7 linked regions of the Macaca mulatta genome follow. The protein of the gene in region 2 purifies or fractionates together with the protein of the main gene of each other region. This does not show direct contact. Links are inferred from orthologs where the notes say so. Each region holds a gene or a part of one and is shown on either strand. Other genes may lie near its edges.

Region 1 (3,500 bases), on a different chromosome or scaffold from region 2:
AAAAAACAGCTAGGAAGTGCACTTCTATAATCCAAATTCTGGTTCAGTTTTGTAATCATATCTGTACCTGCCATAATATACAGCAGAATGCTATCTCTTAATCCATCAAAACTAAGAAATCTCTTTTGGTTATGGTACCTGTACTAAATGTAAAAGATATACTTATTTAATACTCATAGTTTAAGTTAGATACTGGCATAGTAAATACTCTAATATCTTTCACTAAAGTCAGGGAAGTAACCAAACAATATTAAATTCTAAAAACAGAACTCCTCATAGGAGATTCTTTACAAAACAAAAGCCAAAAGGAATAAAACACAAGGGTAGTCATTCACATTCTAGAGCAATTCAAGTTCTACAATCATTAAAATATACATTAAACACCTATGATAAAGGGACACCAAAAAATTCTAGGTTTATTTCTAAGTTTAAATCATAATGCTTTGTTAAATCACTTAGTTTTTCTTACCCAACAGTCTTCATCTTGAGGAAAACAGGGCAACATGAGAGAAGGGGAAGAGAGACAGCTTTGTAGCATTTTCTGTGATGAATGCTGCAGCTCAATATACAAAGCATCTGCCCTCTCTAAGAAGCCACAGTGCTGGCATCCAGGACTTCACACAGCAGATAACAACCGTGGCTTAGAGAAGCCAGTCTCAGTGGATTGCACAGTTGAGGGAGGGGTTAATGTGCAGCACTCTCCCCAAGGCCAATGGAACACACTCCCATGTGTGTCTGGTTGAGACAATCAGTTCTACTTCAAATAACTGCAACATCATCAGTTTCACTACTGACAAGAAAATTGAAATACTCATCCTAATAGCTCTCAGCATCTCAAATAAAAGGCTCACAGTACACTTACTTTTCTACTTGAAAAACAGCCAAAGATAAGACTTTCATGGTAGCAATAATATAGTATAGATTTTAATTATATATTTATAGGCTGGAATCCTAATAATTATGCTTTAAATTTCAGGTTAATGTAACCTAAACAATACGGTCCTACGAATTAAGGGCAAGCACTAGTGAATCTTATTAAGCAACCCGACAGATACATTACTTTCTTGAATCTCATATTTTATATATATATATAAATATATATATAAAACATGACCTTTAGCTTGAAGTACCCTAATATTTAGGCACATCTTGGTTTATTAATACTTTTTATAAAGAGGTTAACTTTTAATAAACCTGTTCACATTAATGTATGACTAGATACTGGTTGTTCCCATCTTTGAAATACCTGAAACATTTTTAGGTACTAAAAATGTTCACAGATTATGTAAAATATAAATTTTGCATATCCTACTTGAGTACTATTAGGTTCAGTTAATCTATATGATTTCTTGTATAGTAAATCAATGATAGTGTTAAATAGTTCATTTCCAGCCTGTATTAAAACATCTATTTCAATATTCTCTCTTTTTAACCCATGATCAATCAAGCTTACTGTTGGAAAGATCTACTTAGCACTCAAGAGTTAACAGGACACTGTGCTTTGAGCGGCCACTTCCATTTAAAGCTCTTAGCAGACCAGTAGAACACACTCATTCATGTACACTGTTTCTGAAATTTCATCTTTGGAGCTCACTTGCTTTCAGTTATTAAGCATTAGTTTATATATTTAAAGAAATTAGATAAGCTTTATATGTAAAAACAAGTACAAAAATCACATAGCTGCAGCCTATTGCAGCCACCCTTGGAAGCCAACCCTTGCTCAATTAAGCTTAAAATTTGCTTGCTACAGGCTACCAAAAAAAAAAAAAAATTTAAGTTATTTACATAAAAGCATTTTCTAATAAAACATGAAATACACTAATAGGTCACTTTTTTTACTTGAAGAAAGGTAAATGAACATGTTAGAACGTGTTCTAGTTAGTTTGACGGAAAGGTGACTAACTTCAGCCTGTTCTTGTGAATTATTTATCACAATCACAGTTCTGACATACAAGGTGTTTAACAATTTCACTTGGCAAAACTTCCTCATCAGCTTACTCTAAAATTTTCCTTCAATACACCTTCATAAGTGCAATAAAAGCATGTTCTAATACATTTCAGACCAAAGAATCAAAAGGTAGTATATTTTACTACCACCATCCCAAATATGAAACTGTACAGCTAATTCTTCCTTTTATGATATTCTTAAATCCCTATATGCAAATAAGGCTACACACCTCTCACCTCACCTTTTCTTCAAAAGAAAAGGGAGGGGCAGACAGAGGGAGGAAACGTTCAAAATATAATAATAGTTGCTGACAACCTACAACTTTACTCTGAGGATAATCAGATCAACAAGTTAACAAGTATGTTTTAATTCTTGTCATAGAATCATATAGGCTCTTTACCAAGGTTATGCTAAAAATCACACAATGTAAATAACAGGTTTTATTATTTTCTATCCCAGAGTTAGCTAAATTTAGCATATGGATCAAGTAATCCTTAGATTAAACCCAGATCTTTCTTAATGAAAGGCACTAAAAAATGCAACTTAGTCTAACAGTATACCCACTCATACTTCAGCTCAGCAGCTTTAGCTACACTAAATGCTGGGGCATTTAAAATGCCAAATAATTATGATCTTTACTCCAAGGAAAGAAAATATAAACTTCTGCCTATGAAATAATGTTTTAAAAACCCATACTTGCCTGGTTATTATTTCAAAGAAAAAAAAAGACTTATAAATTGTACATATACAGAAAACAGAAGCTAAACCATAGCCAAAAGTGACAGAAAAGCCACCAAGGAAATAAAGCACAAAAGAAAGCAGCAGACAGAGGGCACACCATAGAAGAACAGCTAGTGAAGTACAGCAGGCAGAAGCTCCACAATCGTGAAAGTCAAGTGAAAACATTTCAGGGAGAGAGGCTGGTCAGTAAAGAAGCTGAGTCAGGGGCTTTTTTCTTCTACCTTGTACCCAGGAACTGACTTGGACAGTACAGAACGTTTGGGACCATCTTTTCTTGGAGTGGCAGCTTTGTCTTTTGATTTCTGTCTTCCCTGGAAAGAGTCCTCCTGGCTGTCAGGAGCGCTTTCTCCTTCAGATACATTGCCAGAGGAGCTGTCCTGGAGTTTAAAAGGCAAAAACAAAGATTCTTTGGAATTGAGTCTGGATTTTGAAAACTATGGAAAATACTCAAAAAAAGTTTTAAAGCCTTATCAATTTAAAAATAAAAAGATCATTCTAAATGTAAGAAAGTTTTTTCCAGTGGAGACTAAAGTAACTTATGTTAAAAATCATTCATCTTTCTTCTAAGTATGATATGGTATAAAACTGATTGCATTCATATCAGTGCCTTCATCAACTTTGTTTTCTGACCTAAGTCACAAAAATGCAATTATCCGCTTCAGCTACTATTATACGGCACACAGCTTCAACATCATTTTCCATGTCACAAGGGAACATATTTGTTTCACACAAAAATATATTGTTACAAATAAGTGTGGGTATTTTCACTGAGTACTAAAAGTCATTAAGAAGGTCCTTCAGGAAAAATGAA
Region 2 (4,100 bases):
GAAACCCCGTCTCTACTAAAAAATACAAAAAAAAACTAGCCGGGCGAGGTGGCGGGCGCCTGTAGTCCCAGCTACTCGGGAGGCTGAGGCAGGAGAATGGCGGGAACCCGGAAGGCGGAGCTGCAGTGAGCTGAGATCCAGCCACTGCACTCCAGCTTGGGCGACAGAGCGAGACTCCGTCTCAAAAAAAAAAAAAAAAAAAAAAGAAGGGGCCAAAAAAAAAAAAAATCTCAAAGCCAAGTTTCTACAAAGTCCACCTTACAACACTGAGCAACAGCTCCTCCTGCGCCCAGGGCGGGGTGCTCTTGGAGGCATGACCTCACTCGTCCTCAACAACCTGAGGGGACCTGGAAGCCAAGCAGAGAGCCCCGGGTCACCATGGTTAGAGAAGTGACAATGGTATGCCGAAGGTCGCGGCAAGGAAGTGAACTGGAAGTTGGACCATGAGATCCCAAAGCCTGAGGTCTTCAGAGGACACGAGGTGTTGTTTCCCCAAACCCAGGGAGGCGCAGAGGCACAGCCCCACAAGCCCCAACTACAGGCCTGGTCCCCGCGGGGTCAGCGGGCTGGAAGGTCTCCAGGCCGGCCGCCCTGGGGCCCGCGGGGTGGGAAGCCCCATCTCTCCATCTGCCCTCCTGGCAGAGCAGCTGGCCGCTCTGCGGGAGCAGCTGTCAGGGTGCAGGAGCCTCTGTCCCGCCGGGAACCTGGGGTAGGAGGCCCCACCACGCCTCCTTGAGCAGAGAAAGGCGGCTTGCCGGATGCTTCCCAACCTCCAGGTCGGCGACAGAAGGGACCCAGGCACAGACACCAGTTCTTTCTTTGCACAGGGGCTGAGGCAAGGAGGGGAGCAACTCCGGGCTTCCCGCGGGGAATCCCACAGTAGAGGGGGCTGCGGGTTGTTTCCCAGCGTGTGTGTGTTGGCCTGCAGCTGTTTCTGCCATTTTTAAATGGCTCCAGTTGGGCACCGGGCACCCTGCGTACCAGGGGAGCTCCCGAGACACCGACGACTTGGATCTCAACTTTGGAAAGCCTCCCCTTCTCACGGTTCTGAAAATTCTTTGTCCCACTGGAGCCAAACCCAGCCCACGGCCGGGCATCCGGCCATCGCAGCCAGCCCTTTCCATAGGAGGCCGGGGAGCACGTGGACTTTATTGATTTTCCTCTTGCCTTTTTTGTTGGGTTTGACTCAGAAAGGACAGCTAACTTGTGACACCGCCACACCGGAGGCTCGCCCCCAGTGGCTTTTAGAGACCAAGGCGCTACTCGAGAAACGACACCCCCAAACGTAAACATCCCCTGCCACCGGGCCTGCCCGGCTTCCAAGCTCGAAATAAAGCGTCGGGACGAGCCCGCGGGCGCTGACACTCGGGGCCAGAGTCGCCGCGGCTCCTCTCCCTCCGGGACCCGGTGAAGGCGTGGGAAAAAAACAATAAAGTTGAAATCAGGGATCGGGGAGTTTTCAACAAGTCTGACCCAACCTGGCAATCTGCTCGCGCCTCGGGCCTGGCCCAGGGGCCGATTCCGAGCAGACCCCGACGAGGCCGCGAAAAGGTTCGATCCCCTTAATATCGACCGGGCCACGCCGGGGGGACGCTAAAGTGAACCCGAAAACCACGCGCGGCCGCCGCCGCGTCCCCCTCTCCCCAGTGCAGAGAACAAAAACAACGGCTCCCTCCGCAAAACAAACACGAGCTCCCGGTGTGGAGAGGCAGCCGCGGCCCAGGACCAACAGCTTCTGGCCAAAAACATCGGCTGACCCGAGCCCCCCTCCCGGGGCGCCGCGCAGAGTAGGGTGGAACGTGGGCGCCCCGCGCCCCTGGCCGCTGGCGCCCGGCGCTCGCCCCCATCTTTCCTGGTCGCCGAGAGCCCTCGCTCCAGGCAGCCCAAAGCGCTAAATTTAAACGGCTCGCGCTTTGCAAACTCCGCAGACTCGAGGGCGCCGGGCCCGGGAGGCGGGAGCCGGCGGCCGGGCGGGCCGGGGCCGACTGAGGGCGGCGGGGCGCGGGCCGGGGCGCGCGGGGAGGAGACGGCGGCGGCGGCCCGCTCGGAGCCTGCACAATGGAGCTCGCGCTTTCCCCGCCGCCGCCGGCATCGCGGCCCCGGCGCGCGGGAAGCCGCTTTCATGTGACTTGCACAAAACGAAATGGCTTCTGGGGCCGGCCCCGAGCCCCCCTCCCGGGAGCCGAGCGCCGCCGCGGGGGCCGCCCCGCCGCTCCAGCCGCCCGACCCCGGCGCCCTCCGCCTCCTGTCCGCCGCCACCGCCGCGCCAGGTGGGCGACAGGCGCGAGCGCACCTGGGCAGCGGCCGCGGCCCCCGCCTGGCGCAGGTGACCCGGCTCGCGCGCCGCCCGCCCGCCCTCGCCAAGTCCCGGGGCCCGCGGCGGGGCCGGGCCAGGGCAGGCGACCGGGGCGCTGCGCCCCGCGGCTTTCCGGAGCCGCGCTCGGGCTCGGGGTGGCCGGGGGGGCGGCGGGTGCCTCCGCTTACCATTTGCGCACTTTCTCGATCGCCGCCATGACCCTCTTGATATCATCTTTGGCCCGGCTCCTGGTCTCGGCTCGAACCGACCTGCCCGACATGGTTCCGGCGGGGAGACGGAGGCTGGGGAGCGCGCCCGCCGGGTCCTGCTCGCCCTCCGCGGAGGCCACACTCGCGCCCGCCCGCCGCTCACTCACTCGCGCACAGACACTCGCACTCTCACACGCACACACTCACACACACATACACACACACACACATACACACACACACACACACACACAAAAAGCCCGGGGCCGCCGCGCGCCCGGCCCAGTGCGCAAGCGCCGGGCGGCAGCTGCACCGAGCAGGGGGAGCCGCGCCGCCGCCGCCGCCGGCAGTGCGGCCTCCGGGCGCCGCGGCCACCGGGCAGCGCCACCGGGCCTCCTGCGCCCCCAGAGGGGACGCCCCGCACGCCCTCCCGAGGAGGTGCCGAAGGGCGCACGGCGACCCCCGGCTCCGGGCGAGCGGCGGGGGCGGGCCTGCGGACGTGCGCGCAGACCCTTCCTCGGAGGCCGCAGGTGCCGAGGGGTCCACCGGAGACAGCCGGTCTGCGGGGCGGGGGGGACGCGTTCCCCGGGACCCAGCCCAGCTGCCCCTGCCCTGCCCCCGGAGCGCGGCGGCGGGTGCAGTAGTGCAAGTTTCTTGCAGGTCTCTTGACTTCTCCGAGTTGAAGGCGCCGGTTCGGGACGCGAGGTGCTCTTGGAAAGAGTTGGGCATCGCGCATCTCTGCTGGCCCGCGGCCCTGTTCAAATGAGAGCTAGGACGTCGCCTGCCCCAGGCTTTGTCCTTTTGGAAAACTGGGGTTGTAGGAAGGTGCCTGGGGCCAGGCGGACTACCAGAGACTCTCGACCTTGCGTACTAAAGAGTTTTCTGCTCAGCAAAAGCTGAATGATGATCAGCATCGTAACAGGGACTCTTCCTCCCGCCCCCGTCCCCTTAGAAGTTGCCTTGTCATAAACAAGGCGAGAGGGTCTTCGCTGAGCTTCACCGGAGGACCACGATTTCACCTTAAGCCACTCCTGACTTCAGTACCAGACTGAGACCAGGCGCTGTTATTGCCCAAATGGCCCTAGCGGGTACTAGGGGCTGGTCTCATCTACAAGGAGGGCTTTTGAGGCCTCCCAGCAGAGCCCTGGGGAGGAATCTGCGATGATCAGGGTAACCTGGGTGCCGCGTCTTGGTGTTCAGCTGCGGAACCGGCTGGACCAGAGCTAATGCGCTCCCAGAATGAAGTGGGAGACCGAGAGTGGCCCAAATGTCAGCGCCCCGGGCCTGGAGATGAGAGCCCGACAGCAGCCATTTCACAGCTGGGGAAACTGAGTCCCGGGAAAGTTCAAGGTTGCAGCCTTAAACTGTCACTCATTCTAGACGTTTCCCCCGGAGGGTTTGGTCTTTGGGGAAAACGCTACTGAGGAAATGGAGGGACCGCAGGCCTTTTCCTAGGCATTTCTTTTTACTATTCTGAAACTCAAACTCCTGACGTGAAAAATGAAGAAAAAAACAAATACCAGCCGGGCGCGGTGGCTCATGCCTGTATTCCCAGCGCTTTGGGAGGCCGAGGCGGGCGGATCACTTGAGGTTAG
Region 3 (3,500 bases), on a different chromosome or scaffold from region 2:
TGTCAGGACCATAAAGATCTTTGTCCAGCTCGATGACCAAACTCTTGAAGAAAGAAGAGAACTTCCGCTTCTGTTTGCTGGGCTGTGGGAGAGGAACAGGAACCATGGGGGCAGAACAGGGACAGGGTGGGAGAAGCAGAAGGAGGCCAAGTTGGCAGCAGACAGGGCAGTGGGCTTAGATGAAATCCTCTGCACCTGGAATGTCTCTAGGCCTGCCCCCACCTCCCCAGCCTGGGCTGACTCCCTAGCCCTTAGTGCAGACACTTTGTTCTGTTCTCAGTGCAGCCCGTGCCCACCCCAGGACACCTGGAGAGACCTGGGCCGGGACGTACATCATCCAGGAGCTTCCCCTCCACCCGTAGCTCCCAGGAGGCAATGCTGCCATCGGAGTCCTCAGCGTCAGGCTTCGCAGGGTTAAAAGTGTTGGAGATATAGAGACGCAGCTTCCGCTTTTGCTGTAGAAATAGAGTGTAGAACCTGGCAAATGCTGTGTGCTTCCACCCTGACTACCTTGCTTCCCCATCCTGGTCACGCGACTCAAGAGTCCCCTTCCTACCCCCGAACTAAGGCACCTTCATGGGCCTCTTCAGAGCCTCCTGGATGTCCACCCGCTTCCGCATGATGGTTTGATCCAGTTTCCTCTCAAATGCCAAGAGGTCCATGTAAGCCTGGGACTCGGGGACCAGCTCCCGAATCTGGAGGAGGAGGAGCAGGGCAGGAGTCAGAGGCTCGAGTCCAGGGTTGTACCATGGAATGTATGCATGTTGTGCAATCCTAGGGTGCAAAAGATGTCGGGGGAGCCATCCTACTTCTGGGCATGGAGCTTTGACAGTGGGAACAGGACCTCTCCCCAGGATGCCATTATCCAGCAGTAGGGGCCTTGCTGTGTAGGGATAACAATTGCTTCTCCCTTTAGGAAGAGCCTTGTGTATCATCACGGGGAGGAGGTAGCAACTGTGGAACCCAGCAAAGCACTAGCCTTTAGTCTCCTCATCCTGTCATTTTCTATGTCATATGCCCACTGGGCTTCCCCTGGGCCCCTGCAAAGTGCCTAGTAGGGGCTCAATCCCTGGGACAGTTGGACAGCAGTGCTTTCTTCTTTGCTGGCACATTGCTCAGCCCCCACACCTGTCCCAACTGTGCTGTCCCCCATATCCAGCTGGACCTGGGTCCCTTTAGGATGCTCAGGATCTCTGGCCACCTTCTATCCCCTTCATTCTGCCTGGCAGCTTTTGATCCCCTAGCTCTTGCCCCCTTCTTGTCCCACAACTCTGTCTTAGTACCACTTGGATCCAGCCCCCTGACAGGCCCCTGTGTTCTGGCCCCAGTGGCTCTGCTGCTTCCCTCCACCTCACCCCCTCCCTCTGGCCTAGGGAGCCTCACTTACTAATGAGTTTTTTTAAACAAAAAGTGAAAGTGACTGTGACACTGAAGCTCTGCTTTTGAGGGGGGAGGGGAGGGCAGAGCAGCAAAGGGTAGGGGGTGGGCTGGGGGCTGCTGTGAAAGACACTCACCCTTTGAGGGAGGATTTTGTCAGCCATCTTCCTCCTCTTGGCACTGTACATTTTTTAAAGAAAAAACCAGGTTACCATGGCGACAGATCTGGGAGTAACGAGGCCACCTGCTAAATTATCCCGACATCTCCGCCCGCCTGGCTGGGGTTCCCACAGCCCGCTTGTCTGCCCGCCCAAGGGCTATGACGGTGGTGTGTGGAACTGGTGCTCTGTCCTCTCTAAGGACACAGGGGTGACCCGTCCATTCTCTGGCCTGGGAGCCCCCTTCTAACCTGCCACATCCTTAGGGACAGAGAAATTTAGACTTAGGAGGGACTGGCGAGTGGGGGTGGTGCTGCCAAAAGATGGGAGCTGCAGAAGTGTTTGAGGAAAGGTGGGGATGAGGGAGGACAAAGGAGAGGGAAGCCAGGTCTGAGGACCTTTTCTGGAAAGCAGGGGGTGCCCTGTCCAAAGGATTCTAAGCTCAGAGGGAGGGAGATAGACGACTTCCTTCCTATCCATGGAGCGGGAGGTGATGGTGTGAAGCTGGCGGGACTTGCATCCCTTCCAGGCACCCTGGGCTTGCAAGAGAATGCTGATGAGCAGGGGTACTCATGCCCTGGGACTACCTGGCAACAAGGTGAGGGACATGCTGCAGCCATAGGCGCCCAGAATGTGCATGGGTGTGACTTCAGGCTGAGGCCAAACTGACTAGGCCCAGGGTAGTAGCAGCTGGATGTGAGCTCTTTCTGACCCACTAGCTGCTGCTGACTAACCCAAAAACCCCCAGAAAAACCTTGGCGGGTCAAGAGATGAAAACGCAGCCTAGAGAATAGCTCCATACTGCCCCCGTGTGGTGTTCTCAACCACTACCCCCTCCCTATGCAGAAATCTAAGGCTAACAAGCAGATTTCATTAAAGGTCTGGTTTGTTTTAGACAGATTATCTTTGTGTAACTCTCCATTTATACAAGATAAATCAGGGAATTACCGTTTGCTGTACAAAATGACGATGCACTTTACAAAATAATTCATCATGGGATTCCTATAAGTGGTGAATTTTACCTGATGTGTAAAAAATACTTAATAATGAGGTAAAATTGATATTACACCTTTTATAGAAATCCATCTGTTGTGCAAAAAAAGCATGTGTATTTGGCTAAATACTGAAATCCAGAGGGGCACTGCTGTTGCCAGGAGCCAGCAGGGGCTTTAAGGGTGCCACCAGCTGCTGGAGGAAAATAAGGCAATGGGCTGGCCCTGGTGGCTTGGGAGCAGACCTGGTCCAGAGTGCCTAAGAATTAAGAGCGGAACTGGGCAGAGACCACCTACCACAGGGCAAATCCCCAAGCTCCACCCCCAGGGCCAGAGAGTCCCATTGAGAAAATCTGGAGTGGCTTTGAAACAGTCCGGGGTCTGGCAGGAAGGCTCAGCGGAGAACTACACTTTGGGCAACACAGTCCTACAGCTCTGCCCTCAGTCCCACTGGAAGCCCCGCCCCCAACCCAAAGACTGAAGCATCACCCAGAACCTGATGGGTGGAGAGAGGGACTGAGCAGGTGACAAGGAGAAGGGTGAGGGGAACGTGCAGGGAAGCGGTACCGGCTGCCGACGGCCACAGCCTGTCTCTACCGTGGGCACACAAAAGAATCAGGCCGGTGCCCCCTAAGCCCACCTCCCCAGAGGGCATCCGATCCGGGAAGCCTCGCTCCCTGCTAATCATTCTTCCTCACCTCTTCCAATCCCCGCTACTCTCTCACCTGGTCCCTGCGGGTCCCCAGGGCCCGCCCCTGCACGCCCCCTCCGCGCCGGGCCTCCCACTCACCTGCGGCTCCGCGCGGGGGCGGTGGGCACCGGCTGGCCCTGGCTCTGTGCCTGGCTCTGCCCGGGCGGGGGCGCTGCTCGCTTACGGGCGGGCTCCATGCCCGCGGGGGCCAGGCCGGGTCGCACGGCGGGGCTGCCCATGTAGGGGGAGCCCGGGGGGCCCATGGGCGCCCCCTGGTGGGGC
Region 4 (3,500 bases), on a different chromosome or scaffold from region 2:
CGCTGCTGCACCTGGAGAAGGGAGAGACCAAGTAGCTCAGGCGTTTACTACTCAGGGCCAAAGGAGGGAAAACAAGGCAGCGCCTCACCTTGGCAAAGATGTGCCTGCCTACTGCTTCCTGGGCCCAGGGCTGGTGGTAGAAAGCAGCTCGTCTCTCCTCCTCAGGATTTCCAATCACATCAGTGATGATCTGCAAAGAGCCAGAAGGAAAGCCATAGCATAATCCCCAGCCCTGGGCCAACCCACCCTGGGAACTGCTGTGGGTAAAAATCACCCAGAGCTTTACAAAGGAATCCCCTCGGGAAAGAGGACTACACCTTGAGGTCTCGGCGCTGGGAACGGAGCCATTCCTGGATGAAGTCCTGGGGATCGGTGCTAAAACTGAGCATGAAATCTCTCTGGGTCTTCAGCTGGTTGATGGACTCGATGGTCTCATGAATCTGGAGAGGGTACATGTGTCAGACTCTGCCCCCAAAGCTTAAATGCAAATGACTGAGCCAGAGTTCCCATCCCATCCCCTAGGTGCTACATGTATGGAAATGCTGGACAGATCCAGCCCACTCCAATCCTGGGCCCCAGAGGAAGCTGTGGAGCCAGAGGGCCCACCTTGACATCAAGGGAAGCGATCTCCTGCTGATTGGTGGTAGAGGCCAGAAAATTGCTCATCTGGGCCTTCAGTGGGTCGTCCACCTCCACATCAATGTCATAACAGGCTGTCTTCTTCTGGTCGTTAGGGTCCACACTGCAGGCAGCACATGGGGAGGGAAGGCACATAGCTGTCTTCATCCTGCCCACCTGGGCCAAAGCTAGGGCCCATTCTCTGCACATACTCAGGGAGCAAGAAACCTGATGCTCTCTTTGGCTTCAGTTCAAGCCAAGGGTGAATCTGCTGTTAAAAGAGCCTTCCTGTCCCGCTCCTTGCATTTACCTAATGACATGGTTGATGACAATGGGGTCCGGATGCTGCAGCAACCCCGCCAGCTTCATGGGAATCTCGGAGAAACGGAGTCGGCCACAACTGAAGATCTGGAGGAAATACCAAAGGCTCAGCGTTGCCTTGTGGGCACAGGGGAGTGGACCATTCCAGGACCAGTGAGGGCAGCAGTCTGGAGGCTGTGGCCAAGAAGTAGCCCAGCAGGCAAGGCAAGGGCTGAGATAACAGGGGGGCTGGCATCTGGCTAACCTGGCGGAAGTAACGGTTGCAGTTGATGTATTCCCGTTCGTGCCCATCCTGCAGCTGGTTGTGCTTGATGTAAAGCCACAGGGCCTGCATGATAGCGGCCCTCGTCTGTGTGTGCACTCCCAGCAGCCTTGCCAATCGGGGGTCCAATTTGTACTGGGGAGGCTAAAGTTGGATGGAGGGGAGTCAGGATGGGTTCTTGCAGTAAAACAAAGCGGGAAAATAGGGCAGGGACAGGAAGGTTTATAGGAACCAACTCCCCTCCTGAGGGGTCCTTGTGGCCCCAGAAATGACCCCAGGGCCTCTGTCACCTGATGATCCAGCATGAGCAGGAGGGTGCACTTGACGTTGAGGTCTCCAGGCCGTTTTACCTGGAAGCCATCTGTCTCCTGGGTGGTGGGCATCCGGTGCCACTGGCAGGGAGGGGAACATGGCTTATCACCAAGGGGGTGGGCATGAACACAGGGCCTCCCAAGGGCCCTGAGGCCATTTCCCTGCCAAACCTGCATGTCAGCCTGCCTCTGCCCCAGGCCCACTCTCACCTCCACCAGGTGATTGTCAGGCCCATACAGCTCCTTGTCCAGCTCAATGACGAGGCTCTTAAAGAATGAAGAAAACTTCCTCTTCTGTTTGCTAGGCTGGAGATGGAAAGGGGTGTGAGATGGTGCTGCTGAGCTCTCAAATCTCAAGCTATGCTAAATCCCAAGAACAAGAAGCCCCATTTCAGCCCTGGAGCTCAGGGTACTGAAGATTCCTGGGGCCCTGAAGAATGGAAGCAGGACTCTGGGCAGACTGGAGGCAGGGAAATGGCGCCCTCTTGCAGCCCACGAGGGACTTCCTGGAGACACTCGACTGCCATCTGCAGGAACATTGTAATAACCACGCAAATCAACCTCCAATGGGCTTGGAGCAGTGCCCCCTCTCTATGGCAGGACTTCTCTGGGAGCGCCCAAGTGTCTCGCCCAGTCTTTTTTTTTTTTTTTGAGACGCAATCTCACTGTGTCACCCAGGCTAAAGTGCAGTGGTGTGATCATAATTCACTGAAGCTCGACCTCCTGGGCTCAAGCCATCCTCCTGCGCCAGCCTTACCAGTAGCTGGGACTATAGACGCATGCACCACACCCAGCTAATTTTTAAATTTTTTGTAGAGACGGGGTCTGGCTCTGCTGCTCAGGCTAGTCTCAAACTCTTTGGTCCCAGTCTTAAACCCACACAGGCCTCCTTCCCTCCAGATACCTCCCTCCCCAACTCACATCATCCAGCAGTTTTCCTTCCACTCGGAGTTCCCAGGAAGCCACCTTGTCCCCTGCTGGGGTTCCCCCAGGGGTCCCTGCAGTTCCTGCACTATCGCCTTCTGCCTTGCTGGGACTGAACGTATTGGAAATGTAGATCCGAAGCTTTCGCTTTTGCTAAAGAGAGAAAGACAATCAACTGGAAGTGGACCAAGACGTTGGGACACTGCTACGCCATCTTCTGATATGAACATTCAACAATCAATACTGAGCACCATGGGCCAGCCAGGCACCTTGTCAGGCACTGGGAATCAGAAGTAAGTAGTAAGTCCCAGTCCCAGCCTTTTTTTTTTTTAGGACATGGTCTCACTCTGTCACCCAGGCTGGAGTGCAGTGGCGTGATCTCAGCTCACTTGCAACCTCTGACTCCTGGGTTCAAGCAATTCTCTTGTCTCAGCCTCCTGAGTAGCTGGGACTACAGGTGCATGCCACCATGCCCAGCTAATTTTTTTGTGTTTTTAGTAAAGATGGTGTTTCAACATGTTGGCAAGGCAAGGCTGGTCTCGAACTCCTGACCTCAGGTGATCTACCCACTTCGGCCCCCTAAAGTGCTGAGATTACAGGCGTGAGCCGCCACACCCGGCCGGAACTCACCATTTTATGGGGAAAGAGATGCATCACCAACAACGCCAGCACAGTGGAACTGGTGCAATGGCAACGCGGAGGCCTCTGGCTCACATCTTACATGATACCCAAACACCCATCACGGCCCCAAAATATCCTAGTCTCCTGGAAAGCCTTCCCCACTCAGGACGGTTCTAGATTATTATTAAGGAAAGTTTCTCGGCTGGGTGCAGTGGCTCTGTCATCTTAGCACTTTGGGAGGCCGAGGCAGTCAGGAGTTCGAGACCAGCCTGGGCACCATGGTGATACTAAAAATACAAAAATTAGCCAGGCGTGGTGATGGGCGTCTGTAATGCTAGTTACTCGGGAGGCTGAGGCAAGGAGAATTGCTTGAACCTGGGATGTGAAGGTTGCAGTGAGCCGAGATTGTACCACTGCACTCCAGCCTGAGTGAAAGAGCGAGA
Region 5 (3,500 bases), on a different chromosome or scaffold from region 2:
AGTGAACAACATTCAATAAAAATATTATTTTGGAAAAAAGAATGAGGAAAAGTAAAGTAACAGGTACGGTGATAAAAGTATAGTTAACATATTAAACAGATACCCTTTTAAGTTCATTGTTAAATGAATCTGTGCTTTCCAGGAATTTCCTCTTCTTCTCCTGGTGTCGTTCCTCTATTTGAAGAAGTTCAGCTTCTAGTTTTCGCTGCAAGACAGGATCAGGCTTTACAATCATATCTCCTGTTTTAATGGTTCATACTTTCAAACAGTGTACCAAATAATGTTTTGAACTTTAGATCATTTATTACATGAGTCTAGCTAAGATTTAAAAAATACAAAATGCAGCACAAAGAAATGATTATGATCAATAGGTAAATGTTAAAGAATACTGTTTCAGGCCTGAGCAATTCCTTTGGAAAAAGTATTTAGTAGAGCAGTAAAGACTGATAGGACGCCTCAAAATTCTTAAGTTCACATGTACTTCTTAACAAATATACCTTCCATTACAAGGTTCTATATTATAGTTTTTAATGACAAACTTATTAAACATTTGGGAAAGGTCCACTTCCTTAAACCTCTTCTCCAAATCAGGAACAGTTTAGACTGACATATTTAACAGGTACATTTAGGCATGGTGTAGGAATCACGTCAGCTGGGATTTGTGGTATAGGTCCATTTTATTGAAAGTTTTATGACTTTACCTGATGAACCATTAAGGACTGGACCTGCCGTTTGAGGACCTGCATTCTAGCTGTTGTGACAACTGACCGAACGTCTGGCACCACACTCTCACTAAGAATTTCACTGATGAGGCGGTGGTTTCTCTGGAAACGGGCGGTGGCTGTATGCTTCATTGAAAAGCCATCATCATAATCTGCAATGAACAAATTGTTCTGCAAAGTAGGTCACCAGTAACCATAAAAAGGAGTGTAACATGTTAACACTTAATTATCAAGGAACCATGGCCCTTGCTGGCCTAACAAGGGGACCTGACCAGCGTCATGGGAGCACTGGGCAGTTACTTGATAAAAACCATACAGAGGACGTAATGTGTTCACTGGCCAAGGTAGTAATTTATCTCACAGTCTTTAAGTGATGATGTGTGTCTGAGAAGGCTTTGGCTAAAACATAAATGAGATACAACATGTCTCTTCTGGCTTTGGAATCAATGTGAAAGCTGCATGTGATGGCAGTAATTGAAATTCTGCCCAATGTTTCACTTTCTTGGTAGTGACTTAAGGCATTTAACAACTAACGAACAACATATGAACTGGGCAGTGACTTTATGAAAATGCCAGTTTGTAAAATTATCACAGCAGAGGAAACATCATCTCTAACAATATTCAGTTTCCCAGGCCCTCAAGGAATTTTATAGAAGAAAAATAAATGTTTTGATTCCAAATTTAATTTTTGTCAGTTTACACTTAGCCAGCTGTACGGGTCTGGTTTATATGCTTCTGTTTTGTTTTGTTTTGAGACAGAATCTCACTCCGTTACCCAGGCTGGAGTGCAGTGGCCCAATCTCGGCTCACTGCAACCTCCACCTCCCGGGTTCAACCGATTCTTGTGCCTCAGCCTCCCAAGTGGCTGGAATTACAGGCACATGACACCATGCCCAGCCAATTTCTGTATTTTTAGTAGAGATAGGATTTCACCATGTTGGCCACGGCGGTCTTGAACTCCTGACCTCACATGATACGCCCATCCTGGCCTCCCAAAGTGCTGGGATTACAGGTGTGAGCCACTGCGCACACCCTATATGCTTATTTTTAATAGGTATCTAGTGTTTCCTTAATCTCAGTCTTTGCTCTATCGCCTTCATAGTTTTTCATATATCTACTAACAGCCTGTACTATTGTTTACTTAATATTTTTCTTTAAACTAACTCATTTAAAAAAAAAAAAGCTTTCTCTGTAGCAATACATACAAAACAAATGCTCCTTTTTGACCCACTTAATCACCTCAGTGTCCCACCAGACAGGGAGGAACCATACTTGAGCAAACCTTATTACAGAGGAAACCCTGTTACAGAGGAAACCCCATTACAGAGGAAACCCCGTTACAGAGGAGAAAGCCCGTTACAGAGGAGAAAGCCCGTTACAGAGGGAACCCTGTCACAGAGGGAACCCTGTCACAGAGGAAAGCCTGTCACAGAGGGAACCCTGTCACAGAGGGAACCCTGTCACAGAGGGAAGCCTGTCACAGAGGGAACCCTGTCACAGAGGAAAGCCTGTCACAGAGGAAACCCCATTACAGAGGGAAGCCTGTTACAGAGGGAAGCCTGTTACAGAGGACACCCTGTTACAGAGGGAAGCCTGTCACAGAGGGAAGCCCGTCACAGAGGGAAGCCCGTCACAGAGGAAACCCCGTTACAGAGGGAAGCCCGTTACAGAAGGAAGCCTGTTACAGAGGACACCCTGTTACAGAGGACACCCTGTCACAGAGGGAAGCCTGTTACAGAGGACACCCTGTCACAGAGGGAAGCCTGTTACAGAGGGAAGCCTGTCACAGAGGGAAGCCCGTCACAGAGGGAAGCCCGTCACAGAGGGAAGCCCGTTACAGAGGGAAGCCCGTTACAGAGGGAAGCCTGTTACAGAGGACACCCTGTTACAGAGGAAACCCCGTTACAGAGGGAACCCTGTTACAGAGGAAACCCCGTTACAGAGGGAAGCCTGTTACAGAGGAAAGCCTGTTAGAGGGAACCCTGTTAGAGGCCTTTGTGGTGCTCCTATGTCAGTTTAGCACCTCTCTTATTGTCTTGCACTTAAGCAGTTCCTAAAATTCTCATTATCATAAATACTATAGCTAAAAACTGTTGTTTTTGTAAAAAGTTAAAAAAATTACTTTTCTTTCCTTTTGAGTAATTCCTTTAGGAAATAAACTTCTGAAATTAAAACTATTAGGTAAGATACAGTTTTTTTAAAAACTCTGTAATCTTTCTACTTTTTAAGAGTTTTTCACCTTTAGGGTTATATGTGGTATATCTGTGCTACGTCTGTCTAAGTTATCTGTTTTTGTTATTTTTTATTTTCTTCTTTCATTTATATGGCCCCAGTGTTGACCACAGATGGGGTAATAAGGTCTAAGAATTTGGGCTTGTTCTTCCTTGCATGTAAGTCATCTGCTTCCTTTTTTCGGGGAATGGCTTTTCTAATTATGATCTAATTGAACAGCTATTTATCCCATGAAGAGGCTCTCATTGAACAAAAGCCTTCATTGTCTTGTGTAGATAATTGCACATGCCCTCTTTTTTTTTTTTTTTTGAGACTGGGTATTGCTCTGTCATCCAGGATGGAGGGCAGTGGCATGATCATAGCTCACTGCAGTCTCGAACTCCTGGGCTCAATTGATCCTCCCACCTCAGCCTCAGTTGGAGCAGCTGGGACTACAGGCACAAGCCACCATGCCCAGCTAATTTTTAAGTATTCTGTAGAGACAGAGTCTTGCTGTGTTGCCCAGGCTGGTCTCAAACTCTTGGCCACAAGCAATCCTCCTGCTTT
Region 6 (4,215 bases), on a different chromosome or scaffold from region 2:
ATGATCAGTTTTGACTTCAAATCCATTTTGATATTCTGATTCCATTGTTGAATGTGCTCACAACTTGACTTTTTTTTTTTTTTTTTTTTTTTTTAAGGCAAGTAGACCGAAGGCAGCTTTGGTGACTCCACTTCTTTTTAAAGTCACCCTCCTCTGCCCTCTGACTTTAAGTGACAGGCAGTTCCCTCCCCTCTTTCAATTCTGTAAAATGGGGATAATCCGGACCTCATGCCCCCAGAGCCTTGTGAGGACCGGCTAATGAGGGCAGGCGAGTGGGAAACGAATCATCTGAACAATGACCAGTCATTCCTTTGGGCTCGCAAAGAGGGTAAAAAGGCTGGGTCTTTAGCGGGGTCTGTAGAAGGCTTTGAAGACGAAAAGTGCTGTAGAGGTGCTAAACAGCAGCCAACGGACCGGGCCCGCTGCCAGGGGGTCAGGGCTGGGCCGAGGCGGCCGCGGTCTCGGGCTCTGGCCAATTTTGCAGTCGCGGGTAAAGTTCACGCTGCCCGCTCCCCTCGGTACGGCCGGGAGGGGACAGACCTGGATAGGGACGCCGGGAGGGAGGCGGCGCAGGCTCCAGAGATGCGCGGGCTCCGGGCCGGGTTTTCTCCGAAGCCTTCGGCGGCGGCGCTGCCTAGCGAAAGCGGCTAAGGGCCTGCCGCCGCCGCGGCTTGTTCTCTCCCCTCCTCCTTTGTGAGGGGTAGGGAGCGAGTCCGTTCCACGGCCTGCGCCCGCTCCGCTCTCCACTCCGGGTTTGCAAGGCGGCCGCGACGGCGCTGGGTAAAATGGCAGTGCTGAGCCTCGTGTCGGAGTGAGGGGGACTCGGAGGAGAGTGGGGCGCTCTAGCCGCTCAGTCCGGCCGACCGCTTTCTCGCCCGCCCGCTGCCGCGCCGCAGCCTCGACCCAAGCCGCGGCTGGCGAGGGAAGGCAGGGCGCCCGGCCCGGCCCGCGCTCTGACTCTGGCTCCCGGCGCCCGGGCTGCTGCCGCGCGCCCTCCAGCCCGCCCGTCCCGGGTCCCCCTCCCCCCGCTCCCTCCCTCCCTCCCCGCCCCCTCCCCCTCGCCTCCCTCCCTCCCTCCCTCCTCCTTTCTCCGGCAGCAGAAAGCGGAGAGTCACAGCGGGGCCAGGCCCTGGGGAGCGGAGCCTCCACCGCCCCCCTCATTCCCAGGCAAGGGCTTGGGGGGAATGAGCCGGGAGAGCCGGGTCCCGAGCCTACAGAGCCGGGAGCAGCTGAGCCGCCGGCGCCTCGGCCGCCGCCGCCTCCTCCTCCTCCGCCGCCGCCAGCCCGGAGCCTGAGCCGGCGGGGCGGGGGGGAGAGGAGCGAGCGCAGCGCAGCAGCGGAGCCCCGCGAGGCCCGCCCGGGCGGGTGGGGAGGGCAGCCCGGGGGACTCGGCCCCGGGGCGGGGTGGGAGGGGGGGAGAAGACGAAGACAGGGCCGGGTCTCTCCGCGGACGAGACAGCGGGGATCATGGCCGCGCAGGTCGCCCCCGCCGCCGCCAGCAGCCTGGGCAACCCGCCGCCGCCGCCGCCCTCGGAGCTGAAGAAAGCCGAGCAGCAGCAGCGGGAGGAGGCGGGGGGCGAGGCGGCGGCGGCGGCAGCGGCCGAGCGCGGGGAAATGAAGGCAGCCGCCGGGCAGGAAAGCGAGGGCCCTGCCGTGGGGCCGCCGCAGCCGCTGGGAAAGGAGCTGCAAGACGGGGCCGAGAGCAATGGGGGTGGCGGCGGCGGCGGAGCTGGCGGCGGCGGCGGGCCCGGCGCGGAGCCGGACCTGAAGAACTCGAACGGGAACGCGGGCCCTAGGCCCGCCCTGAACAATAACCTCACGGAGCCGCCCGGCGGCGGCGGTGGCGGCAGCAGCGATGGGGTGGGGGCGCCTCCTCACTCTGCCGCGGCCGCCTTGCCGCCCCCAGCCTACGGCTTCGGGCAACCCTACGGCCGGAGCCCGTCTGCCGTCGCCGCCGCCGCGGCCGCCGTCTTCCACCAACAACATGGCGGACAACAAAGCCCTGGCCTGGCAGCGCTGCAGAGCGGCGGCGGCGGGGGCCTGGAGCCCTACGCGGGGCCCCAGCAGAACTCTCACGACCACGGCTTCCCCAACCACCAGTACAACTCCTACTACCCCAACCGCAGCGCCTACCCCCCGCCCGCCCCGGCCTACGCGCTGAGCTCCCCGAGAGGTGGCACTCCGGGCTCCGGCGCGGCGGCGGCTCCCGGCTCCAAGCCGCCTCTCTCCTCCAGCGCCTCCGCCTCTTCGTCGTCTTCGTCCTTCGCTCAGCAGCGCTTCGGGGCCATGGGGGGAGGCGGCCCCTCCGCGGCCGGCGGGGGAACTCCCCAGCCCACCGCCACCCCCACCCTCAACCAACTGCTCACGTCGCCCAGCTCGGCCCGGGGCTACCAGGGCTACCCCGGGGGCGACTACGGCGGCGGGCCCCAGGACGGGGGCGCCGGCAAGGGCCCGGCGGACATGGCCTCGCAGTGCTGGGGGGCTGCGGCGGCGGCAGCGGCGGCGGCGGCGGCGGCGGCCGCCTCGGGAGGGGCCCAACAAAGGAGCCACCACGCGCCCATGAGCCCCGGGAGCAGCGGCGGCGGGGGGCAGCCGCTCGCCCGGACCCCTCAGGTACACAGCTGAGTGGGGAGGGGGCTGGGGCGAGCGTGGTCCTGGGGGTGGGTGGCGGCTGCGGTCAGCGGGCCACAGCCTTGGGCTCCCCTCAGTCTCGGGCCCCCACTGCTGGGGAGCTGCCATTGTCTGGCTCTTCTCTCTTAAAATGGCTGCCTGTCTGCCTTCCTCTCCTTTCCTCCTCCAGCCTTTGTGTCGGGCTTTCCCAGAGGTGTCTGCTTCTCTTGTTCCTCTCCCTTGGTCCCTTCGAACTCCAGGGGTCTTGATGGGGGTGCGGGGCAGAGTGTGTGGGGAAGGGCCTGGCCGGGAGTGAGGGGGTGCTGGGGGCTCAGGTTAGGAGTGTAGGCAGTGGTAGGAACCCAGGAGTTGAATGAACGTTTCTTTGCTCACCTGCCGCTCCTCTCCGTCCCCCGGCCTTCCTCTGGGCCGCCCCCCATCTGTGCTTTCAAAGAGGGCCCCTAGAGCTCGGAGGGACCTCGAGGGAGGGCAGGGGACTGCTTGGGAGCTGCTAGAGGCCGGCTGCGGTTCACCTAGGGCAGCCCTTGCCATCTCCTGTCTTAGGCTCCGCCGGCCCAGTGGCCTGGGCTTCTCTCTGGAAGTGCTGGTAAACAGCTGAGTGATTGGAGTAGTAAGTGCAGATTGCTTTGGTTTGGGATTTGAATTATGGAGGTAAAATCCTTCTGTCAAAGCCAGGAGACAGTTGGTCTTAGGTTGACATCCTATCTGTGATCTGATTGGCTCCCCATCTCCTGCTCTTGGCCATTTATAATTGCCTCTGATGTAATGGTACAACAATCCTGATGAGCTCATAAACTTTTACACTCTGCTTTTCTGCCAGTGATAACCCAAACCATCGCTGCCACTATCTGCCTTTTATTCCAGAGCTGAAATTGGCTGTGACCTTGAGGAGGGAGGTTTAAGTAGCAATACTGTATCAGCAGGAGCAAAGCCTCAGACAGCCTGCCCTTGTTACATTGTGCCCGAAACAAAAGAGGGGGCAATGGCATTTTGCTTGTACCTTGGATTTATTTTGCTTGTTATGTTTTATGCAGCCTGAAATGAATTCTGTGTTGTCAGAACAGTAGCTGAGTTTTTTCTCTACAATGGGTTTGCTGTTTGTTTTGGTTTTGTGACTTTCCTGATGGTATAAATGACTTCTTTGATGGCTCTGAAGATGCATTTGTCTTGAGTAATTTTGACACTGGTTGCTTTGCAGAATTGAAATGATTTTACTGGGGTTTTTATTGAGTGGCAAATGTGGGATCTTTGTGGGTGGGGGAGAAAACAATTTTCGTTTTTTAGTTTTTTTTTTTTAAGAACTGGGAGCTTTCTGAGGAATTTTATATTAGGTTCAAGCATTCTGTGTTATGGAAGGCTGGCCTCATTCTTTGTTTACATGTTGAATCTTGTTAACACTTTCTTTTGTTAATTGAACTTTGGAATAGCAGCTTAATTTAAACGGAAGTTGGTGTCTTTCATGATCTTGAGGGACTTTCTCCTAAAGGCTTGGTTTGGTGAAATTGTTTTTTCCTGGAATAACAAAAAGTCTAGTTTTCTGTTTTGTCATCAGTCATTTTAGAGCTTTGAAATAGAGACTGGCCA
Region 7 (3,500 bases), on a different chromosome or scaffold from region 2:
AGCCTCCTGAGTAGCTGGGACTACAAGTATAAGTCACTGTGTCCAGCTCAGAAATCACACATTCTTTGCAAAATTAGGAAATATACCATCAATCCATTCTGCCATGATCTGAACCTAGCACTGTGCTTATTTTTACAGCTACAGTTTAATATAATTATCCATAGGAGAAATAATACTCTAAAATAATAAAGTGTAATGAGGCCTAAAAAATGCATGCTACTATTTCCCCCTCATATATATATACACCCTCAACCTCTTGGGCTCAAGTGATCATCCTGCCTCAGCCTCTCAAGTTGCCTGGACCACAGCAAGTGCGACCATGCCCTGCTAATTTTCTTATTTTTTCTAGAGAAGCGGTCTTGCCATGTTACCCAGGCTCTTCTTCATATTAAAAGCCATATAAAATATATAATGAGGAGGACAGGTGATGAGACCTGCTCCACTGTGCTCTGGTTAGTACATACCTAGAGTTGTGCACTTTAGTAAGGGTAGACATATACTACTGAAGGACATATTTACCTCTCTGGTGAAGGAATACAAAAGTATTTCATGTGATAAACAGCTCAAAGAACTGGACTGCCTGGATCACATTTCCACCAACTTTTGGTTTCATTAACTTCTATGCATACTCTATGTCTCAATTTAAAGGCAACTGTTCTAGAAAGCCTTTTTGAAAACAAATGCCAAGCCAAGGCATGTCATTCTATAATAATTTCTTTTTTGATCATAATCTTCCTTACTGGAGTAGTTTTGCAAGGGAAAAACATGAACTTTTTGTTCTTTTGAATCTCTGTCACTCCACAGAAAGGTTGGCTCAAAGTATGTTTTTAATAAGTATCAACTGAACGAATGAATTTCAACCAGACTTTAAGAAGCTGTATTTCTTTTGACTCAACTATGACACTGCCCAATAGGTCCTATGTTTTTCATATGATGGGTGCTTACTTACATTTATTGATATATTGAACAATTATTATGGAAAGGCATAAGATATTTGAGTTAAAATTTTCTTCCCTGAAGAGCAAGGAGAAGTCAAATAGTCATATCTCACTAAACTGTTCTTTGATTTAAAACAAACTTACCAGCTGAATCCTCCCACAGTCTTTCAATACAGACTATATGTGGTTGTAGGTTGGCCTCTGCAGGTTCCACATAGACATAATCTCCAACATGGTACATGCTGTTTTTAAAGCTACAATCCTGGCTGTATGTGCGATGTAAGCCTGAAAGGCCTGCAGCACCAGAGGAATCTTCACTCTTTTCAGCTTCTTAGGTAAAAAAATAAATAAATAAAGGAAAAAAGTACTCACCAAAGGGATGCTGGAGTCAGATGTAGGATTCAAACAACACATACTAATAATACATTCAATACATTTAATTCCATTTGCAACGTGCGAAGGCAGGAATCAGCAACAGTATGATCTTTACATTCCTAATAGCCTCTACTCAAAACTGTATTTTTGAATTACAACCATCATTAATTTAAATGAATATGTAACTACACAAAGGATGTATAGAATAAAAACATCATCTTACTAATAAATGATCACATGGTCATTTCGGATAATATTGAAAGGCACAAAGAAGTACATACGTCGTTTCAAATCAGGTATTTCTAGAGATAATCTCTGATATACTTCACTTCCACCTTAAGGCTTCTCAATGTGTTTCATTTCACTAACAAGTTATTACACAAATATGACACATTTAATGCAGTCATAGAATTGAAGAAATATGGAATATGTATATTCTACAAAAAACTATATATATATGTATATATATTTAATATATCATGAACACTTGCCCTGACAGGAAATGCTTTTTTCAAAATGACTTTTATTTTTATTTATTTTTTTTGAGATGGAGTTTCGCTCTTGTTGCCCAGGCTGGAGTGCAGTGGCACAATCTCAGCTCACCGCAACCTCCGCCTTCCAGGTTCAAGCGAGTCTCCTGCCTCAGCCTCCCGAGTAGCTGGGATTACAGGCATGCACCACCATGCCCGGCTAATTTTGTATTTTTAGTAGAGATGGGTTTCTCCATGTTGGTCAGGCTGGTCTCGATCTCCCAACCTCAGATCTGCCCGCCTCAGCCTCCCAAAACTGTGCGATTACAGGTGTGAGCCACTGTGCCCAGCCGACTTTTATTTTTGTTAAGTAAAACTTATTAGTTCCAGTACACGCCGGGAGCAGTAGCTCATGCCAGTAATCACAGCACTTTGGGAGCCGAGGCAGGCAGATCACTTGAGGTCAAGAGTTCAAGGCCAGCCTGGCCAACATGGTGAAACCTCGTCTCTACTAAAAATATAAAAAAATTAGCCAGCATGGTGGCGGGTGCCTGTAGTCCCAGCTACTTGGGAGGTTGAGACAGAAGAATCGCTTAAACCTGGGAGGTGAATGTTGTAGTGAACCAAGACCGCACCACTGCACTCCAGACTGGGTGACACAGCAAGACTCTGTCTCAAAAAAAGAAAAAAAAAAAAGTTCCAGTACAAGCTATCATTTGCAAATATCATAAGGTTTTTATTGAGGATAAGGCTTTGCCCAAATTTTTGATTACTTCCTTAGGTTAATTTTCCATAAACGGAAGAGCTAATAATCAGCATTTTAAATGTTATTTATTTTATTCTTCTGGAAACATTTTTTTTTTTTTTCTTTTTTTAGATGGAGTCTCACTCTGTCACCCAGTCTTGAACTCCTGACCTCAAGTGATCCGGCTGCCTTGGCCTCCTAAAGTGCTGGGATTACAGGCGTGAGTCACTGTGCCTATCTAAATTTTAAAATAGTTTTTCTAGTTCTGTGAAGAATGTCATCGGTGATTTGATAGGATTAGCATTGAATCTGTAAATTGCTTTGGGCAGTATGGCCATTTTAATAACATTGATTCTTCCTATCCATGAGCATGGAATGTTTTTTCATTTGCTTCTGTCATCTCTGATTTCTTTGGGCAGTGAGTAATTCTCATTGTAGGGATCTTTTACCTCCCTGGTTAGCTGTATCTCTAGGTATTTTATTCTTTTTGTGGCAGTTGTGAATGAGAATGTGTTCCTGATCTGGCTCGTGGCTTGGCTGCTATTGGTATAAGAATGATAGTGATTTTTGTACACTGATTGTGTATCCTGATACTTTGCTGAAGTTTATCAGCTGAAGGAGCTTTTGGGCTGAGACTATGGGTTTATTAGATATAGAATTATGTCATCTGCAAACAGATGTAGTTTGACTTCCCCTCTTCCTACTTGAATGCCCTTTATTTCTCTCTCTTACCTGACTGCCCTGGCCAGGACTTCTAATACTATGTTGAATAGGAGTGGTGGGAGACAGCATTCTTCTCTTGTATCGGTTTTCAAAGGGAATGTTTCCAGCTTTTGGTCATTTCAGTATGTTGGGTGGCTTTGTAATAGATGGCTCTTATTATTTAGAGGTATGTTCCTTTAATACCTAGTTTATCTAGAGTTTTTAACATGCCAAAAGCCTTTTCTACATCTATTGAAATAATGTAGTTGT

The links.
Region 1: the proteins of BCL7A (region 2) and PHF10 purify together in Homo sapiens (affinity purification with mass spectrometry; 3 studies listed by BioGRID and IntAct, counting the BioPlex papers as one, with this or other methods). This does not show direct contact. The link is inferred for Macaca mulatta from reciprocal best matches to the Homo sapiens genes BCL7A and PHF10.
Region 3: the proteins of BCL7A (region 2) and SMARCD3 purify together in Homo sapiens (affinity purification with mass spectrometry; 4 studies listed by BioGRID and IntAct, counting the BioPlex papers as one, with this or other methods). This does not show direct contact. The link is inferred for Macaca mulatta from reciprocal best matches to the Homo sapiens genes BCL7A and SMARCD3.
Region 4: the proteins of BCL7A (region 2) and SMARCD2 purify together in Homo sapiens (affinity purification with mass spectrometry; 5 studies listed by BioGRID and IntAct, counting the BioPlex papers as one, with this or other methods). This does not show direct contact. The link is inferred for Macaca mulatta from reciprocal best matches to the Homo sapiens genes BCL7A and SMARCD2.
Region 5: the proteins of BCL7A (region 2) and SMARCE1 purify together in Homo sapiens (affinity purification with mass spectrometry; 4 studies listed by BioGRID and IntAct, counting the BioPlex papers as one, with this or other methods). This does not show direct contact. The link is inferred for Macaca mulatta from reciprocal best matches to the Homo sapiens genes BCL7A and SMARCE1.
Region 6: the proteins of BCL7A (region 2) and ARID1A purify together in Homo sapiens (affinity purification with mass spectrometry; 5 studies listed by BioGRID and IntAct, counting the BioPlex papers as one, with this or other methods). This does not show direct contact. The link is inferred for Macaca mulatta from reciprocal best matches to the Homo sapiens genes BCL7A and ARID1A.
Region 7: the proteins of BCL7A (region 2) and PBRM1 purify together in Homo sapiens (affinity purification with mass spectrometry; 3 studies listed by BioGRID and IntAct, counting the BioPlex papers as one, with this or other methods). This does not show direct contact. The link is inferred for Macaca mulatta from reciprocal best matches to the Homo sapiens genes BCL7A and PBRM1.

The regions. Positions count from the first base shown.
Region 1 is NC_133409.1:2,320,296-2,323,795, reverse strand, and holds part of PHF10 (PHD finger protein 10), read right to left. Parts: intron 3,067-3,500; coding exon 2,911-3,066; intron 1-2,910. UniProt on the Homo sapiens protein: Involved in transcription activity regulation by chromatin remodeling. Belongs to the neural progenitors-specific chromatin remodeling complex (npBAF complex) and is required for the proliferation of neural progenitors.
Region 2 is NC_133416.1:129,393,272-129,397,371, reverse strand, and holds the start of BCL7A (B-cell CLL/lymphoma 7 protein family member A), read right to left. Parts: upstream 2,801-4,100; 5' UTR 2,577-2,800; coding exon 2,485-2,576; intron 1-2,484.
Region 3 is NC_133408.1:190,675,212-190,678,711, forward strand, and holds part of SMARCD3 (SWI/SNF-related matrix-associated actin-dependent regulator of chromatin subfamily D member 3), read right to left. Parts: coding exon 3,318-3,500; intron 1,558-3,317; coding exon 1,515-1,557; intron 696-1,514; coding exon 573-695; intron 456-572; coding exon 333-455; intron 83-332; coding exon 1-82. UniProt on the Homo sapiens protein: Involved in transcriptional activation and repression of select genes by chromatin remodeling (alteration of DNA-nucleosome topology).
Region 4 is NC_133421.1:73,629,562-73,633,061, forward strand, and holds part of SMARCD2 (SWI/SNF-related matrix-associated actin-dependent regulator of chromatin subfamily D member 2), read right to left. Parts: intron 2,590-3,500; coding exon 2,434-2,589; intron 2,367-2,433; exon of another isoform or gene 1,819-2,366; coding exon 1,723-1,818; intron 1,594-1,722; coding exon 1,492-1,593; intron 1,346-1,491; coding exon 1,184-1,345; intron 1,139-1,183; exon of another isoform or gene 1,027-1,138; coding exon 929-1,026; exon of another isoform or gene 743-928; coding exon 607-742; exon of another isoform or gene 441-606; coding exon 318-440; exon of another isoform or gene 191-317; coding exon 89-190; intron 12-88; coding exon 1-11. UniProt on the Homo sapiens protein: Involved in transcriptional activation and repression of select genes by chromatin remodeling (alteration of DNA-nucleosome topology).
Region 5 is NC_133421.1:65,012,063-65,015,562, forward strand, and holds part of SMARCE1 (SWI/SNF-related matrix-associated actin-dependent regulator of chromatin subfamily E member 1), read right to left. Parts: intron 875-3,500; coding exon 702-874; intron 206-701; coding exon 104-205; intron 1-103. UniProt on the Homo sapiens protein: Involved in transcriptional activation and repression of select genes by chromatin remodeling (alteration of DNA-nucleosome topology).
Region 6 is NC_133406.1:214,286,793-214,291,007, reverse strand, and holds the start of ARID1A (AT-rich interactive domain-containing protein 1A), read left to right. Parts: upstream 1-1,415; 5' UTR 1,416-1,467; coding exon 1,468-2,613; intron 2,614-4,215. UniProt on the Homo sapiens protein: Involved in transcriptional activation and repression of select genes by chromatin remodeling (alteration of DNA-nucleosome topology).
Region 7 is NC_133407.1:116,140,845-116,144,344, forward strand, and holds part of PBRM1 (protein polybromo-1), read right to left. Parts: intron 1,269-3,500; coding exon 1,083-1,268; intron 1-1,082. UniProt on the Homo sapiens protein: Involved in transcriptional activation and repression of select genes by chromatin remodeling (alteration of DNA-nucleosome topology). Required for the stability of the SWI/SNF chromatin remodeling complex SWI/SNF-B (PBAF).